Macaca fascicularis: one gene and its partners. The protein of the gene in region 1 binds, or shares a complex with, the protein of each later gene. Links are inferred from orthologs where the notes say so. Each region holds a gene or a part of one and is shown on either strand. Other genes may lie near its edges.

Region 1 (3,557 bases):
TGAATGTCTCTCTTCCTTGCCTCTTTTAAAGTAGAGAAGCAAAAATAGAGACCTCAGGAAAAACAGAAGGGAAACAATAATCTGGTCCTCTTTTTACTTACACAAAGCCCTCAAACCCCATATTTGGATAGGATAACCTTTGGATATATTAGATGATTATTTAATAAGCATTTGCATGAGGAGCATGTAATATGCAAAACTTTTCAAGTATTTGGGCACTTTTAATGAATTGGTTGTAAAATTACTATTATTTTCAGCAGAATGCAACAGTCAAGGGATTCATGATGATGTAAATAAGTGTAAAGTTATTTATGTGTGACACTTTTATACTTATAATTACATAATAACAAAAACACATTCAGAAAATACACATTCACTAAATAAAGTAGATTTAGAATTTAGACTTTTCTGGAAGATATACCATTATAAATCTTTGGAGTCTGTGGCTAAAAACTTTAAAGGCATCATTAGATGAATAGGAAGACTGGCATTCCACAAATTCTAATCATTAATGTATGGGATTTTGTGTGGAGGGGAGAAAGTTCCATGTTTCCTGAGCTAAAACTATTGTTTTACATGTCAATTCATAAACAAGTAAATATTGTTTTTTTCTTCTCACAGGTTAGTTGCAAAGTGTCCCAGTTCATTCATCTTTACCTGATGGGCTGTAATTACTTTTGGATGCTCTGTGAAGGCATTTACCTACACACACTCATCGTGGTGGCTGTGTTTGCAGAGAAGCAACACTTAATGTGGTATTATTTTCTTGGCTGGGGTAAGTGTTATTATACATACTTGTTGATTCAATGGATTAAAAAAGCCTTTGGAGGATGCCAGGTTCCTTTGTAATACGAATATACCAATGAGTAATCATTTTTAAAGTATCAGGTGATTAACTTTTGCCTATTATTGCAAATTGCAACATTTTAAGCAAAGAATCACTGACTCATCTATTGTTTTCAGTAGTCACAAGTCAATATATAATAGTGTCTTTTTTTCTATTGAATATGCCAATGAAGAGGGTAACTTGACTGACTATGTAGTGACTAAAACAATAGAAGTAGAATGATAAATTAAAGATTTAGTCTTTTTACTATTCTGAATATTCATTTTTGCCACGTGTAAAATGAGAGCATTGGATTTAAACATCTTTGAAGTTCCATTCTAAAAATATTTGTTTAAAATATTGTCATTTTATGATAAGAGTAGAGGGATTAGTAATTGAATAAAGGCATGCAACAGATTTATTTTTTTCCACACAATCTTCTGATGTGGCATTATTCACAAAGAAAACAGTGATATACTTCTGACATACTAAAAATAACTGGAATAATACAAAATATGAAGTGCAGAAATGAATTTAACAGGACTAGTTTCCAGAAACAAAACTGAAGTTGTACTTATCTATTATCATATATCTACCCTACCATCTATCTATCTATCTATCTATCTATCTATCTATCTATCTATCTATCTATCTATCTATCTATCTGTCTGTCTGTCTGTCTGTCTGTCTATCTATCTATCTATCTATCTATCTATCTATCTATATCTATCTCTATCATCTATCTATCTATCTATCTATCTCTATCATCTATCTAAGCTATCATCTATATCTAGAAAGAAAAACATATACAGAGGTGTAATATACACACACACGCACACACACAATTTTAGTGTATTCTGATTGACTTTATAAAGCATTGCTTAATTTCATATTTGGAAGAGCTGATTTAGAATGTTCAAAGCCTGCCAAATTTTTGGTACATAAATTAATCTCTTTTTTTTCTCCTCTTCTTCAAATAATGGCTTACTAGTAGTAATCTCTCTCATAGTGGAAGTTCTTGTGATTCTCACCTTTTTTCCACATCTGATAATGTACCAAATATTGGCCAATTCCATCTCACAGAAAGTACATGAATGCTGAATTTCTTCTAATCCTTGTGGCTTAGGAAACACATCTTAAGAGTTAAGTTCTGAAGTCCACTGATTCAAAATGACCTATGAATTATAGTAGAAGAAAACATACACACACATACACACAAACATAAAAATGTAAATATCTAATACTTTATAATGTGTATTGTTGACTATACAAATAATGTTTATTCAACAAATATACAGTGGCTAGTTTTTTTGCTTCTAGAGTATCTTTGAATTTTTGTATTTAATTATATATTTTTGAAATACCATCTGTAGAAAAAAATCCAATTTATTTTCTTTTTCTTTGGTATTATAGGATTTCCACTGATTCCTGCTTGTATACATGCCATTGCTAGAAGCTTATATTACAATGACAAGTAAGAAAATCTCTTTTTATTATTTCTACTGGAATAATGTAAAATAAAAATTTTCAACATAATGTTTTTATGTTTTCTCTAGTTGCTGGATCAGTTCTGATACCCATCTCCTCTATATTATCCATGGCCCAATTTGTGCTGCTTTACTGGTATGTAACAAATTCTCCTTTCCTTATCATTGCTCACATTTCAACTTTATTTCTGAACCATCTGGCCTATGATATCCTTCAGGGTCCCAGTGGACACAGATGGATATGCATGTTCACAGTGCTTAAATGAGTAGAGTTTAGTGAAGGTATCATATTTGATGTATAGGCAGGAAAGGCAAAGTAACTAATTAGTAAGGGATGGTGAGCCATTGGGGATCAACAGTGGAATGCTGTTATCACAGGTAGACCTGAAGAGAGAAGTGTTAGTGTAGTGAAATGAGCACTGGGAGGAGTCACCCAGTAAGAGATCTGATTTTGATTGGAGAAAAACAACCACTGCCAAAACCACAGCCTGGCAGAATAGAGGCAGCAGAAACAAAGACTCGAATTTATCTTTATTCCCATACTCTTATCTTTTTTTCCCCCATTAGCCAGATGCAGCAAATGTCTCAGGGCAAGGAAGTCTGGGTGAAGCTGTTCACAGACATCAGCCTCCTGTGGCACAGAGAGGAATAGAGGATGAATTAGCAGGGGGGTGGGAGGTGACAAACAAGATAAAACAAAATACTTATGTAAATTTTACATTATAATTATTATCACTTAATGTCAGTGCACCAATTAGACATTTTAGTGTGATTGCAGAAAAACAGAAGTCACATTCGATGCTTTTATTACACTATTATTATTTTTTATTATTTTAATTGAAAAAAAGTCTTGCTCTGTTGCCCAGACTAGAGTGCAGTGGAATGATCATAGCTCACTGCAGCCCCTAACTCCTGGGTTTAACGGATCCTCCCACCTCAGGCTCCTGAGAAGCTAAGACTAGGTATACACTACTATGCTTGGATAAGTTTTTAAAACATTTTTATAGAGACGGATCTCACTATGTTCCCCAGGCTGGTCTCAAACTCCTGGGCTCCAGGGATCCTTCTGTCTTGGCCTCCACAACTGCTGGGATTACAAGTGTATTACATTATTTGAATGAGAAAGTAAATTAATACAAACTAGCAATCTAGTATGCTTTGTCTCAGAGAGTATTAGAGATCATAATGCAATTACAGTCCTTCAGAGTGGTATTTTAGTTACAGCTGCTATTCATTTTTTTGTT
Region 2 (4,166 bases), on another chromosome or scaffold:
TCTGCTCCCAAATAAGGGTCTTGTTAAATAAAGTGGGTCTTTCTAAGCCAGGAGAAGGTCAGCTCAGCTCCTGGGAAGGTAGCAGTACCTACGGCTCAGAGGAGTGGAGGGCCCATCCGTGTGGGAGCCTGGGCCTGTGCTCCAACCTCAGACCAGCATGCGCCCCCAGGGGTGGTGGGTGGGCCCTGGAGGGCAGAGAGGGGCCTCTAGCTGGCTCTCGGAAGTCCTGGCCAGTGACAATTCTGCAGACACCATCAAGTGTCCACTGGAGCCAGGGCCTGTGCTAGGGGCTGAGGATGACAGAGGCGACCCATCTGGCTAAGTGACCTGTGGCTGGAGAAACTGAGGCCTTCCTTCCCCTCAGGAACCCTGACACTCTCCGAGGCCAGGTCTTTGGGGGCGCCAGATACTCTTGTCCCTCGGTTTGCTTGTGGCTTGGTCCTTGATGTGTGATATATCTCTGTGTGTAGCTGCCACATCCTCCAGTCTCTCTCATACACACTGTTTCCCAAGCACACACTCACAAACACACCTTGTCTCAGACTCAAACTCACACATGCCACACACACACCATACATCACACACTCCATGCACACACATGCATCTACACATACTCCACATGCACATCACACACATATTCCATGAACACCACACACACACACACACACACACACACACACACACCCCAACCTCCTTCATGCACTTTCCTGACCCTTGGAGACCTGGCTCCTAGATGTGTCTCTGCTCAAAGGTCCCCTCCCTGCCTGGGGGCAGCTCTGGACTCTGGTCTACTTTCGGCCAGGGCACACCTAGCCCACCCCCAGGTCCACCTTCCTCCAGTCTACCCGCAGCCTCCTCTAGGCCATCATCAGTCCGCGCTTCATCCACACCTCAGCTCCCTCCCCGGTCTACCCCCACACTCTGCCCCCAGCCTGGACGGAAGTTCCCCAAGTCCTTCCAGCCTGCAGCCCAGCCTACCATCAGCCGGCCCCCACTCTCACTCCAGCTCACCTCCCAGCCTGCCCCTGCAGTCTGCTCCCAAAACGCTCCTTTGCAGCTCAGCACCCCAGTCCCGCCCTCAGAGCCGGCACCCCACCTTACCCCAGCTAGTCCCCAGCTCGAAACCCAGCCCTCACCCCACTCTCACCCCCGCTGAGATTCCAGCCCAGACTCCAGCCGCCCCCTGTCCCTCCCACCCGGCGCGCCTGCAAGGCCTGCACCCCACATCTGGAGGTAACGGGCACGGCTGGAGGCGTGGTCTGGGGGGTGCGGCCTGGGGGCGGACTCCCTGAGGCCCCGCCCCACCCCAATCCCATCCGGGCGTCCCCGGTTGCACCCCCAGCCGGACCAAGCGTGACCCAGCCGCGGCCGGCCAGCCATGGAGACTGGAGCGCGGCGGCGCCCGCAACTTCTCCCGCTGCTGCTGCTGCTCTGCGGTAAGGGGGCGTCGACCCGCACCGGAGGCGCCCCCACTTCCCGGAGTTCATCGGACCCGCGTGGACCCGCGCCTTCCTGCACCTGCGCCGCAGTCCTTCCTTTCCCCCTGAGCTCGGGAGGGGCGCACAGCGACCCTGGCGGGCTCCCCAGGCTCTGCGGGAGGGTTCACCCGGGAGAAGCTGAAGGCAAAGAACTCTGGCGGGCAAGGGAGGCACAGGGTCCCCTCCGGGCTCTTCTGCCGGCGGGGTCCGGCAGTCCCCGCTCCTCCTAGTTGTGATGTCCCCCCACGCCCCAGTTCTGGGGTCGCCTCAGGGTGGGCGAGAGAGGAGGCGGACCAGGCCTGGCTCTTTCCCCCTTCCCCCTAGGATGGGTTGTCGGTGAGGTAGTGAGCTCCCTGTCCTGGCATTGAGTGCCTGCCCACCACTCACAGGGGCGTGGGCGGGTGGACTCCGGACTGCGTAGCTGGTCCTAGCAGGGCCCTTCAGTGTGTGGACGCTTGTGTGTGTCTTGGAACTGGCTGACAGGGGAAGCGGGGCGACTCTCTGAGCCATCCTCTCCTAATGTCTTCTTCCGCAATAAATCAGGACTCTGGGGAGAACCGTTGCTCACAAAATGGAAACAGATTAAACTAAAAGCTTATTTTGAACTACCTTACTAAAGAAATTATCCAAGAGAAAGTGAGAGAGAGAGAGAGAGAGAGAGAGGAGGGGGGGGGAGAGAGAGAGAGAGAGAGAGAGAGAATGTGTGTAAGGGCTGTTGGGGAAGAGTGCTTGCTGAGGGCTGGAGTACACTAAGTGGCGACTGAGCCTGGCCAGTTCTGGGGGGACACTGGTGAGGGAGGGCCCTGGTCTGGTGGTCCCCAGTTTCCCTGACTGTAAGATGCAGCGTTGGGCCTGTTTTGATGATTTGGGATTTGGTAAGGGAGGTGGGAAAAGGGTGGACCAAACTCAGTGTTCATTTTCCTTCCATTGAAGAGGTCTTGGTGTGCAGAACATGTGTGGCTTCATTTGGTGTTCCAGGGCTGGAGCCTAGGACGTGGTTCATTTTGTGTTGAAGTGCAAAGGTGCGTGGCAGCTTCTGAAATCAGGAACATGCTGATTTGGGATTTCAGCAAACTTCCAGTGAGCTCCCCTCAGGTGGAGATCTTGGTCACTATAATGGAAGGAAGGTCCTCTGAATTCATTCTGGGAGAAGCTGAGGCTTTCCTAACCATCTCCAGTATGGAATTGAGAAGGACCACAGGCTTCCGCCTGCACAGAATCCCTCCTCTTAATAATCCTGTCTCTTGTGGACCCAGTTCCTGAGGGTCACTTCTTTGTCTTGTTGTGTTGGTCCTGACTGTCCCCCTCCAATGGGACATGGGTTCATGCTCCCTGGCCAGAATGGGGACCAGGCCCAGCTTCTCAGCAGACCCTCCCAGTGTTTGCCTGGCCAGAGTGAGATTCAGAGAGAGGTAAAACTTGCTCATGGTTCCAGGCTGATGTGTCAGAGGTGGGACTGGAGCCCACATCTGCCCTGGATGCTGCTGTATCTGGAAGGAAGGAGCTGGGTGGGTTCCTCTTGAGTGAGGACTGGCTCAGGGGGACCAGCAGGGAGGGTGCTGACCTCTGGGGCTTCTTTGAGAATTCCAAACCTTTTTCCAGAAAGCATTTGATGCTGTGCAGGGCTGTGGGGATGCAAAGTCCAGCAGTTGTCTACTCAGCAGGATGCTTTGCTGTTTTCTATTTTGATTCAGTTCCTGCGACTTTTACTAATGCAGCCAGTAGTCCAGCCCTTGACTGGACTCTTTTGGTCTGGGTGAAAATCCCGATCATGATCCCAAGATTACAAAGCACTCACTGGCCTCAGTTTCCCAGCTGCAATGTAGATGTAATAGTAGCAACCTGCAAAGGGCTGCTGAGACCGTCAGTTTGATTCCATTCAGTTTAGTCTTTATCGTCTTGTGTTGGGCATGGGATTGTGGGGTGGAAGGATTCATGCTTAAACAAGGGGAGGTGTAGGAAGGCACCCACCAGTGACTGCACTGGGCCTCATGAGGCTCACTCACAGCACCCAAAGATGGAGCACCATAGTGTGTGTGCCTGTGTGTGCAAGCATGGTACCACCATTTTTATCACTAAATGATGTCCTGCTACCATGTTACCTGTGGTCACATTGATTCTGCTGAATCAAGTGGGCCCAAGGGCCGTGGTTGGATAGCAGTAACTCTGGTGAATTAAAGACTTGGAGGTGGCAGGCCGGGGGCAGTGGCTCACGCCTGTAATCTCAGCACTTTGGGAGGCCGAGCAGATCACGAGGTCAGGAGTTTGAGACCATCCTGGCCAACATGGTGAAACCCCATCTCTACTAAAAATACAAAAAATTAGCTGGGTGTGGTGATGCATGCCTGTAGTCTCAGCTACTCGGGAGGCTGAGACAGGGGAATCACTTGAACCTGGGAGGCGGAGATTGCAGTGAGCCGAGATTGTGCCATTGCACTCCAGCCTGGTGACAAAGCGAGATTCTGTCAAAAAAAAAAAAAAAAAAAAAAAAAAAAAAAAGAAGACTTGATGGTGGTGATTGGCCAAGAAGAGGCCCATAGATTTTTGGCACTGGAGGTTCCTTGGAGGTTATCTGACCTCCATGCTCTTACCTACTCTTCATAAGGAAACAGAAGTCTGGAGGGTTGAGAGGAAGTTGCCCAACCACAGAGAACAGGGGCAGAACCACCCAGAATCCACAGCCTCCCA
Region 3 (4,072 bases), on another chromosome or scaffold:
GATGTGTGTGCCTCACACGGCCGCACCTTGGTGTGCCCAGGGCGGGTCAGGAGAGGGCTCCCACCCAGACCGGGGTAGGGGTACCCAGTGGGTGGTAATGATGAGGAGAGTCTCACGTTTCACTTGTTTAAATTTCTTTTTTTTTTTAATTTTTGAGACGGAGTCTCACTCTGTCGCCCAAGCTGGAATGCAATGGCACGATCTCAGCTCACTGTAACCTCCACCGCCTGGGTTCAAGCCTCAGCCTTTCCTGCCTCAGCCTCCCAAGTGGCTGAGATTACAGGGACCCGCCACCAAGCCCAGCTAATTTTTTTGGGGGGGGTTCGGAGGCGGAGTCTAGCTCTGTCCCCCAGGCTGGAGTGCAGTGGCTCCGCCTCCCGGGTTCACACCATTCTCCTGCCTCAGCTTCCCGAGTAGCTGGGACTACAGGCGCCCGCCACCACGCCCGGCTCATTTTTTGTATTTTTAATAGAGAGGGAGTTTCACCGTGTTAGCCAGGATGGTCTTGATCTCCTGACCTCGTGATCCACTCGCCTCGGCCTCCCACAGTGCTGGGATTACAAGCGTGAGCCTCCGCGCCCCACCGGCCCATGACCAGCTAATTTTATTTTTAGTAGAGACGGGTTTCTCCATGTTGGCCAGGCTAGTCTCAAACTCCAGGCCTCAGGTGATCCGCCCGCCTCGGCTTCCCAAATTGCTGGAATTACCGGAGTGAGCCACCGCGCCCGGACACTTGTTTAGATTTGTTACAGAAACCGTGCAATACTTTGGTCTGGGGTTGGAGCGGCTGGCGGTAGGTAGAGCTTTTTAGGAGCGCAGCCCCGGGTTTGGGGACACCGCGTCAGACGATAGCGGAATCCCGCGGACTCCCTGGTCAGGCCCGGGTCCGGGGTCCACCGGATCAGACCCTGGAGGGTGGGACCGCCAGGACCCACCAATCGGGAGGTGGTTGACAGGGTGAGAGTCCGCCCCAGCCGTGGGATCAGCTTGGACTACGGCTCGCCCCCTAGAACCCCGCTTCAGCCTGGGGAAGACCGGCCCCCCCAGGCTCGGGGCTGCGTCCCCACTAGAAGGCGCCTGGAGTGAGGCTGGCAGCCCCGCGGTCCCGGGCCCGTCGCCGAGCGCTCCCGGCGGGAACAGCCCCCTCCCCGCCCCGGAGCGTGGCTTAGCCCGGGGCAGGGGCGCCCCGCCCCGTCCGTGCACCCGGCTCCGCCCCTTGCTGGAAAGGCTACGTATTCAGCTCCAGAGGTGCCATCCGGGCCGCGACTCTGCTCCAGACAGGACCCCCAACCCGCCCAGCCCGCTCCGCCTTGCGCTCTGGACCCGCGGCCGACCCCAGACCCGCTGCCCGCTTCGCGCCCGAGGCCTGCGCCCCGACGGACGCCCGTGCCCAGCTTGCCATACCCACGCCCGGTGCCCCGACCGCGGAGGGCTCCCCGAGGTGCCGGCGGAGGGGGTGGCTCGCGGCTCAGGCTGCCCCCGACCTGCCCGGCTCACCGCTCCCTCCCCCGCAGCGCCGCCCGCCATGGCCCGGATCCCGACGGCCGCCCTGGGTTGCATCAGCCTCCTCTGCCTGCAGCTCCCTGGCGTGCTGTCCCGCAGCCTGGGCGGGGACCCGCGTCCCGTCAAACCCAGGTGAGTCCAGGTCTTGGGCCAGCCAGCCCCTCTGGCCCCCACAGGGAAGCAGAGTGCCGGGGGCCGCCCTCCCTCCAACCGCCACCTGCTGCTAGGGCTCCCGTCCCAAACCAAGGCCCCTGCCCCAGGCTCAGCAGCGCCTGAGCAGGGCCAGAGGACCCTCTTCCTCTGCCTCCCTGCACAGGGCAGTTGCTTCTCCCCACACAGGTGGACACAGCAGCCCCTTTTCTGGGGGTGTCTGCTGGGGGAGGGAAGGCTGGCGGTATCCCCAGGCCCACCTGTGACCAAAGGGAGGGCAGAAGCTGAGTCACCCTGAGCCCTGAGAGTGGTGACCCGCAGAGGCTGGGCCGCGGGGGTGCCCTTTGCTCAAGGAGGTGCCGGTTCCCAGGACACGTGACCCGGGCCACTGAGATGGTCCCAGGCCCCAAGCCCAGAGGGGACGCGTGGGCTTCCCCTGGCTATGCTCCAGGCTGTGTGTGGGTGGGGGCCGTGGGCTTCCCCTGGCAGTGACCCAGGCCTGTGTAGAGGCAAAAGTGGGTAGGTGTGAGGTCTCTGAAAGGCTGAGCCATCCAGTTGACATTCTCCATCTGCCTCTGCAGGGAGCCCCCAGCCCGGACCCCTTCCAGCAACCTGCAGCCCAGGCACCCCGCACCCCGACCTGTGGTTTGGAAGCTTCACCAGGCCCTCCAGCCACAGAGGGGTGCTGGCCTGGCCCCTGCTATGGGTCAGCCTCTCCGGGATGGTGGCCGCCAACACTCGGGCCCCCGAAGACACTCGGGCTCCCGCAGGACCCAAGCCCAGCTCCTGCGAGTGGGCTGTGTGCTGGGCACCTGTCAGGTGCAGAATCTCAGCCACCGCCTGTGGCAACTCATGGGACCGGCTGGCCGGCAGGACTCAGCTCCTGTGGACCCCAGCAGCCCCCACAGCTATGGCTGAAGTGGGGCTGGGCCACACCCCTGGCCATCCCAGCCAGGGTGCTGTGCCCCCGTCCAGAGCTGCAGCTGAGCCCCCTCCGCAGCCCAGTCCCGCGGAGCTGCAGACAGCAGGTCCTGCAGCAACAATGCCTGCACGGCGTCGCACACGTAAACCCTTGCACACCTGTAGACCGAGGCTGGTCTATATGCAGTGCTGGTATGTCAAGGAGCCTAAACACCCTGAAATTGTAAACCCTTGGGGGATGGCTGCCAGACCCAGCTGGTGGCAGCACCAGATGCTAAAAAGCGTTTTAAAAAGGAGGCATCTGCCAGGGACGTGGAGCAGAAGCTGGGCCCTGAACCCACAGGGCCACGTCTGGACGAACAGGGGAGAGGGGCTGAATTGGCCGGAAGCGGCCCCTCCACTGCTGGTCCAGTCAGACTGAAGCCCGGCCTTGTGCCTGGGCTGTTCCTGCTGTCATGCACAACCAGCCCTTCCACGTGCCTGCCTGGCCGGGGGTCCCAGCCTCTCCCTCCCCATGCCTTTGGGACAGGACAGGGAGTGTGGGATGCTATAGCCCCCTGGGGTTGGGCAAGGGAAGGATGGTGGCCCTCCAGAGGTCATGAAGGGACCTCTGTGGCTCCAGCTGCCAACCCTGGAGCCCAGACTGAGGTAGCCATGGGGACTCCATCTGGATGCCCTGTGGGAGGCCGGGGAGGGGAACTCAGCAGTTCAGAAGCCACCCCAAACCATTCTGGGACAGGGACACCCCTTCCTACCCCAGGACAGGGCAGGGCTGGGTGAGGCAAGATCCCCCAGCCCAAATAGACCCACCCCACCTCAAGGGGGTGAGACCCTTGTTGGCAGCCAGACAAGGGTGGGGCTCCACAGGCAACCCAGGCGCCCCACCACCACCCAGTGTGGGGGCCCAGTGGAACCAGGTGTGGGGGCAGCAGGTGACTCGCCAAGAGCCCGGGAGGGCAGCCCAGCCCCAAATGACAAGAACAAGAACCACTGCCAGTGTGCACGGACTTGGTGTGTGTTCTTCCCCGGGGAGATGGGGGCTCATGTGCGTGTGCCACTCGAGGCTCCCAGTCGTCCAGCAGAACGCGGGGTTCAGAAAGGGTTCCTTCCGCTACTTAGCAAACACTCAGCATTTAATTTGCAAATGTTTGCTAGGGTCACCCTCTCAGCCACCCCATGAGGGTCACCATGATCACCCCAACTCTAGAGGCTACAGCAGAGCTCAGGACATTCCCCCACAGCCTGCCCCTCAGTGACTACCTCCAAAGGGGAGGGTCCTGGAAGCGCCCACCCAGGCGCCGCCTCTGTGCTTGCTCCCTGAGCTCAGGGATCGCCGGGTCCAGGTAACTGACCTGTGCTCCATGAGGCCCTGTGGGAACAGTCCAGGCTGATCCTGCCCTGTGGAGGCCTCCGTGCACTGGGAGATGGACTAGGGTTGCAGCAGAGGTGGTCAGGGTGGTGGGCCGCACAGCAAGGCAGTCAAGGCCGGCTCCCTGGG
Region 4 (4,202 bases), on another chromosome or scaffold:
CACACCCAGTCCAGGACAATGTAGGATGAGGGCAAGGGAGGTGGAGGGGGGTTGTGAACCTAGTAAAGGAAGCCCCCACTGCTTTCTCCCACATTTGTGAGGTCCTTAGGAATGGATTCCTGTTGCTCAGTCAGGGTTCCTCTTCCCAGGCCCTGGGAGTAAACTGAGGCATGAAGAAGGGGAATAGTCAGGGCTCCTGGGCAGCCTCCTGCTCCTCTTGCAGGAGTCACAAGCACAGATTTTTCCTTTGCCCCTTCCCCCACACCTCCTCAGTTGCAGGCCCCCAGCTGCTGTCCAGACCGGAAGGGAGTCTCTTCCTGCTTGTTTCCTGGAGCTGAGTTTGGATAAGGACAGGAAAGGCCCGCCTGGGAGGAAAGAATATAGGGGTGTGACCTTCATGGAGGCAGGGAGCAGGGGGGCAGGTGAAATGAACAGAACAATGGGCCATCCAGATTTTTCCAGTTCTACTACCCAGAGCTGAGGGCCTATGGGAGTGGCAGGGAAGGACACAGGTTCCACTGAAATGGGAAGAAGGACATTGTACAAAAAAAGTTTTATTTTGAAGATTACAGAACTTGTGCCATTACCCCACCCGGCTTCCATTCCCAGCAATCCAGGGATCTGTGGTGGGGAAGAGAGTGAGAAAAGGGAGTAAGAGGGGAGGAGGGAGGCCTGGTTGGTGTGGGGAAGTGGAGTAAGGTGGTTATAGAGAAGCTCGTGGCTCCCTAGGCCTGGGCCTCACTGTCTTTACTCCTCCATACTACAAGAGTGATAAGGAAGGGGATGAGGCAGATGGGGGCTATGATCATGGCCAGGAGTACATCCTCTGGGGGGTCAGAGAAGGTGGGCTGCACCAGGGAGCAGTTGGCAAAGTGGATCTGGTGAGTCTCAAAGATGATCCTCTCTGCCAAGGGATTGGGGAAGCCCAGGTCAAACAACTCCGCAAAGTGCTCCAGGCATTCTCGCAGGGTGCTGTAAGGCCTAGGGGCAGAAGAGGACTTGAGTGAGGGAGGGGGTGGGCCCAGGGAGAAGAGTGCCCCACACTCACTCAAGGTCTACCTGCAATGAGCAGGCCCACCCCCTGGCCTGAGCCACCCTCCAGCACTGCCCCTACCTGCTAATCATGGCCCAGTCGCACCAATCCTTTTCGATAGAATCCATTTGATCCTTATAATGATTCCAGCAACATTGGACAGCTGTCTCATAGTTCTTCACCGTCACCCCTGTAGGTACAGATGCTGAACAATGACCACACCCCTGCCCCTCCCTCCAAACCCTCCTGCCCAGGTGCTTGCAAGGTGAACTGCCTGTCTTCAAACGTGGGAACCCTTCAGAAAGTTTCCCTAGCAAGACATTCTGGCGGAGGACAGAGTCCCAGCTCAGGAATCATGTAATGACTTCCATGTGCTAAGCACTTTCCATCCCAGCCTGATAAGAACTTCCACGTACACCTTTTCCTGGGGTCTTCTAGCCCACTTGTGAGGTGGGCAGCTCAGAGCCGCGCAGGGGCCGACCTGCACGTGAGAGGACAGGGAGAAAGACTGCAAGGAACCCCAAGAGAGAACAGAGGGGAGTTTAGTGGGGCATCAGCTGGGGTGGGGCAGGCCTTGTGGGAAAGGGACCCTCCCCACTGAACTTGCTGTCGTCCTTGCCCTCGGCCACCCTTCCACACCCCGGGTACCCACCTTCTGACCCCGTTGTGCCTGTGGTGGGAAGAGGCTGAGCCAGGGCCTCATGGGGCTTCAGGACAGCTGTGGGAAGAAACGGGAGAGGAGGGTAGCATAGCGGGGACCCAGGTAGTGGAGCCTGCGACGGGGTTGGGGGACTGAGACCCTCCGTAAACAGGGCTACCTTGGAAGAAAAGGAGGAATAATCTAGCCCCCACGGACGCCTCAGTGCCGGGGAGGGAGGGGCTGGCACCAGCTCCTAGTCACTCACACCCAGGCCCAAAGCCCCCTCACCTCTGGCCAGCTCCTGTCCTCCGAAGCCCTCTCCGCAGGGCCGGGGCCGGCACCCCAGCTTTCCCCGGGTGGGAAGCAGCTCGTGCTGCGCCCTCCCCGAGGTGGGGTCAGGGACCGTCCGAAGGCCAGTGCTGCTCGGTCCGTCGGTCCGCACCCGGACCCCGGGCCCGTTCCGGCCTCGGCCATCCAGCCCCTCTCCCCTCTCCCCTCCGGGGCCTCCCGCGCCTCCCTCCCGGGCCTCGGGGCGCCGCGCTCACCGCCCAGCAGGAGGAGGAGGCGGAGCGCTGCCGGCCGCCCGGCGCGGGTCCTAGGGAGCCGCGGGCCGCCGGCGCGCTCCACCCGGAGCCAGGCCATCGTGCAGCTAGGAGGCGAGGAGCGGCGGCTGCGCTGAGCCGGGCCCGGGTGTGGGGGCGCCTATATCCCCAGCCCAAGCTGCAGGAAGCCGCGCCGCTTCCTCGGAGGGGCTGGGACGGCGGCGGCCACGTGGGGGGCGGGGGCGACGCCCGGGGCCAGAGGCTGGAGGGGGAGTAGCTGCCGCACCCGCGCCTGGCGCCCGCGGCTCCCTCCGCTTCGCCGGCGTTGGCCCACCCTCTCGTAGCTCACCCCGCGAGGCTGGACAGCTCCCGGAACCCCGGAACCGGGATCTATTTCGGGGGCTCGGCTGCGTGGCGCCCAGGACTCTCCAGGGTCTCCCAGGATCGCTCCCTGGATTCAAGTCGCGCTCTCTCTCTTTCGGGTCTGTAGGGGTCGGCAAGCTGCTCTCCCAGACCTGGAGAACAGGGAGGAGGCTGGGAGCTCCAGCGGCCTCTCGACGCCGCTGCATCTAAAGGGCTGTCTTGGGTTGTGGGGCAAGGGGCGCCTGGAGCTGAGCCGGGCAGCTCAGGGTTCCTTATCCTATCCCTAGGAACACCCGCTGATGTCAGCCCACCAGCCAAAACCAGGGAGGAGAAGCGGGAGCCGGCCCTCCGGAGTCGGGAAAAGGTCTGCGGAGTGGGGTAGAGGGGAAAACAAAGTCCAAATACCCTCCCTTCAGATACCTCCTGGGGCCTAGACCCCACAAACCTGTTGTGGGGGGGACAAAATACGATGGCTACGTTCCCAGGAAGAAGGTGCCACAGTTCTTCAGGACCACGGTTGGGAGAAAGAAGGGAGGGGTTTTAGAACCTTCAGTGTGCCACTTCATGTGCCTGGTGAGTGTATCACCATTTTACAGACCAAGAAACTAAAGCTCAGGGCCAACAGCCCGGGATTTGAATTCAGAGGCTCTGGGTTCTAATTCTGCCTTCCTACTCCCCAGATATAGGGCCTTGAATGACACATTTACCTTTAGGACTTCTCGTGTAAAATAGGGACATTCGCTTCCTCACCAAACAGTGACGATGGCAGCTGTGAAAGGGCACTGCACTCGCTAAATGCTAGTTTCCTTTCCTCTTTTCCTAAGTGACTTATCTAAGGTCACACCGTTAAGGAAGCAGCAAGGCTGAGCCTGGGCCTCCAGGGGCCCTGACTTTGGCCACACCACAGTTGCCTCTTGTGTCCTGGGCCAGAGGTTCATTACTCTGAGGCAGCTGAGGAACCCAAGAGCTGGTTTGGCCATGATGTTCAAGTCCCAGACACAGCTGTCAGCACCAAACTTTCCTAAATTACTCCCAGACACTGACCTTTGGACTCAGCTGCTGCTGTTGTCCCAGTTTACTGCCCACCACAAATTATCTGTCATGATCTCTCTTGAAGTCTTCATCTCAGGATCTCAAGCTCTTGGATCATGGGCACAGATAACCTGTTGTCCTCCTCTATGGTCAAGAGGCTGCTTTTGCAAGGAATCCAGTGGGAGAGAGTCAATGGCCTGCTTGACGTGAACTCCAAAGTCCTCCTGGTAAGGATCATTTCTATAATGATTCAGAAAGGAGCCAGGCAGTCTCCAAGACGTTTCAGGCTGGGACCAAATCTAGTCCTTCCTGCCTGCCTAGGATTGCTCCTTTCAAGAAGGAAACATGGTAGATTTCTGGGTGATAAGATGGGAGGAGGGAGCAAGGAGGTGCAGAAAGCAAAACAAGCCATTTTCACTGGGTTGGGGCCAGAAGCACATGAGCCCACTATGGGTTAGGACTGGGGTTGGGGTCAAGATTAAAGGGGACAAAAGCAAATGTTAGATTTAAAATAGAGCCTGGGCATCATAGTGAAGCCTTGTCTCTACAAAAAAAAAATAATAATAATTTTAAATTAGCCTGGCATAGTGAT

The links.
Region 2: the proteins of CALCRL (region 1) and RAMP3 are in contact, whole or in part, in a cryo-EM structure (PDB 6UVA), measured with the Homo sapiens proteins. The link is inferred for Macaca fascicularis from reciprocal best matches to the Homo sapiens genes CALCRL and RAMP3. Residues at the interface, in NP_001258680.1 of Homo sapiens: Arg38, Asn39, Met42, Thr43, Gln45, Tyr46, Glu47, Tyr49, Gln50, Met53, Trp69, Asp70, Ser117, Arg119, Thr120, Phe228, Leu231, Ile235, His238, Thr239, Val243, Val245, Lys249, Gln250, His251, Trp254, Tyr255, Phe257, Leu258, Phe262; in NP_005847.1 of Homo sapiens: Trp56, Cys57, Leu59, Phe62, Ile63, Tyr66, Glu67, Thr70, Cys82, Tyr83, Pro85, Asn86, Pro87, Leu88, Gln90, Ile93, Thr94, His97, Arg98, Cys104, Thr105, Val106, Asp107, Arg108, His110, Leu111, Glu112, Asp113, Pro114, Val118.
Region 3: the proteins of CALCRL (region 1) and ADM2 are in contact, whole or in part, in a cryo-EM structure (PDB 6UVA), measured with the Homo sapiens proteins. The link is inferred for Macaca fascicularis from reciprocal best matches to the Homo sapiens genes CALCRL and ADM2. Residues at the interface, in NP_001258680.1 of Homo sapiens: Val36, Thr37, Lys40, Asp70, Gly71, Trp72, Asp90, Tyr91, Phe92, Gln93, Asp94, Phe95, Asp96, Pro97, Ser98, His114, Ala116, Ser117, Thr120, Trp121, Thr122, Tyr124, Thr125, Asn128, Thr131, Lys134, Val135, Ala138, Leu139, Leu141; in NP_001240774.1 of Homo sapiens: Leu106, Arg107, Val108, Gly109, Cys110, Val111, Leu112, Gly113, Thr114, Cys115, Gln116, Val117, Gln118, Asn119, Leu120, Ser121, His122, Arg123, Leu124, Trp125, Gln126, Leu127, Met128, Gly129, Pro130, Ala131, Gly132, Arg133, Gln134, Asp135.
Region 4: the proteins of CALCRL (region 1) and RAMP2 are in contact, whole or in part, in a crystal structure (PDB 3AQF), measured with the Homo sapiens proteins. The link is inferred for Macaca fascicularis from reciprocal best matches to the Homo sapiens genes CALCRL and RAMP2. Residues at the interface, in NP_001258680.1 of Homo sapiens: Arg38, Asn39, Ile41, Met42, Thr43, Gln45, Tyr46, Glu47, Tyr49, Gln50, Lys51, Ile52, Met53, Gln54, Trp69, Asp70, Gly71, Arg119; in NP_005845.2 of Homo sapiens: Trp86, Ile89, Tyr93, Ser94, Arg97, Leu109, Gly110, Pro112, Glu117, Ile120, Phe121, His124, Gln125, Phe128, Ala129, Cys131, Ser132, Leu133, Val134.

What each region holds. Positions count from the first base shown.
Region 1 is NC_088386.1:82,971,044-82,974,600, reverse strand, and holds part of CALCRL (calcitonin gene-related peptide type 1 receptor), read left to right. Parts: intron 1-621; coding exon 622-775; intron 776-2,239; coding exon 2,240-2,300; intron 2,301-2,382; coding exon 2,383-2,449; intron 2,450-3,557. UniProt on the Homo sapiens protein: G protein-coupled receptor which specificity is determined by its interaction with receptor-activity-modifying proteins (RAMPs). Together with RAMP1, form the receptor complex for calcitonin-gene-related peptides CALCA/CGRP1 and CALCB/CGRP2.
Region 2 is NC_088377.1:85,177,154-85,181,319, reverse strand, and holds the start of RAMP3 (receptor activity-modifying protein 3), read left to right. Parts: upstream 1-1,340; 5' UTR 1,341-1,378; coding exon 1,379-1,436; intron 1,437-4,166. UniProt on the Homo sapiens protein: Accessory protein that interacts with and modulates the function of G-protein coupled receptors including calcitonin gene-related peptide type 1 receptor (CALCRL), calcitonin receptor (CALCR) and G-protein coupled estrogen receptor 1 (GPER1).
Region 3 is NC_088384.1:1,082,197-1,086,268, reverse strand, and holds the start of ADM2 (protein ADM2), read left to right. Parts: upstream 1-1,250; 5' UTR 1,251-1,525; coding exon 1,526-1,635; intron 1,636-2,234; coding exon 2,235-2,571; 3' UTR 2,572-4,072. UniProt on the Homo sapiens protein: Intermedin/ADM2 is a peptide hormone that plays a role as physiological regulator of gastrointestinal and cardiovascular bioactivities mediated by the CALCRL-RAMPs receptor complexes.
Region 4 is NC_088390.1:63,817,530-63,821,731, reverse strand, and holds RAMP2 (receptor activity-modifying protein 2), read right to left. Parts: upstream 2,787-4,202; 5' UTR 2,785-2,786; coding exon 2,565-2,784; exon of another isoform or gene 2,316-2,564; coding exon of another isoform or gene 2,219-2,315; intron 1,752-2,218; coding exon 1,686-1,751; intron 1,224-1,685; coding exon 1,115-1,223; intron 982-1,114; coding exon 726-981; 3' UTR 539-725; downstream 1-538. UniProt on the Homo sapiens protein: Accessory protein that interacts with and modulates the function of G-protein coupled receptors including calcitonin gene-related peptide type 1 receptor (CALCRL) and calcitonin receptor (CALCR). Required for the transport of CALCRL to the plasma membrane.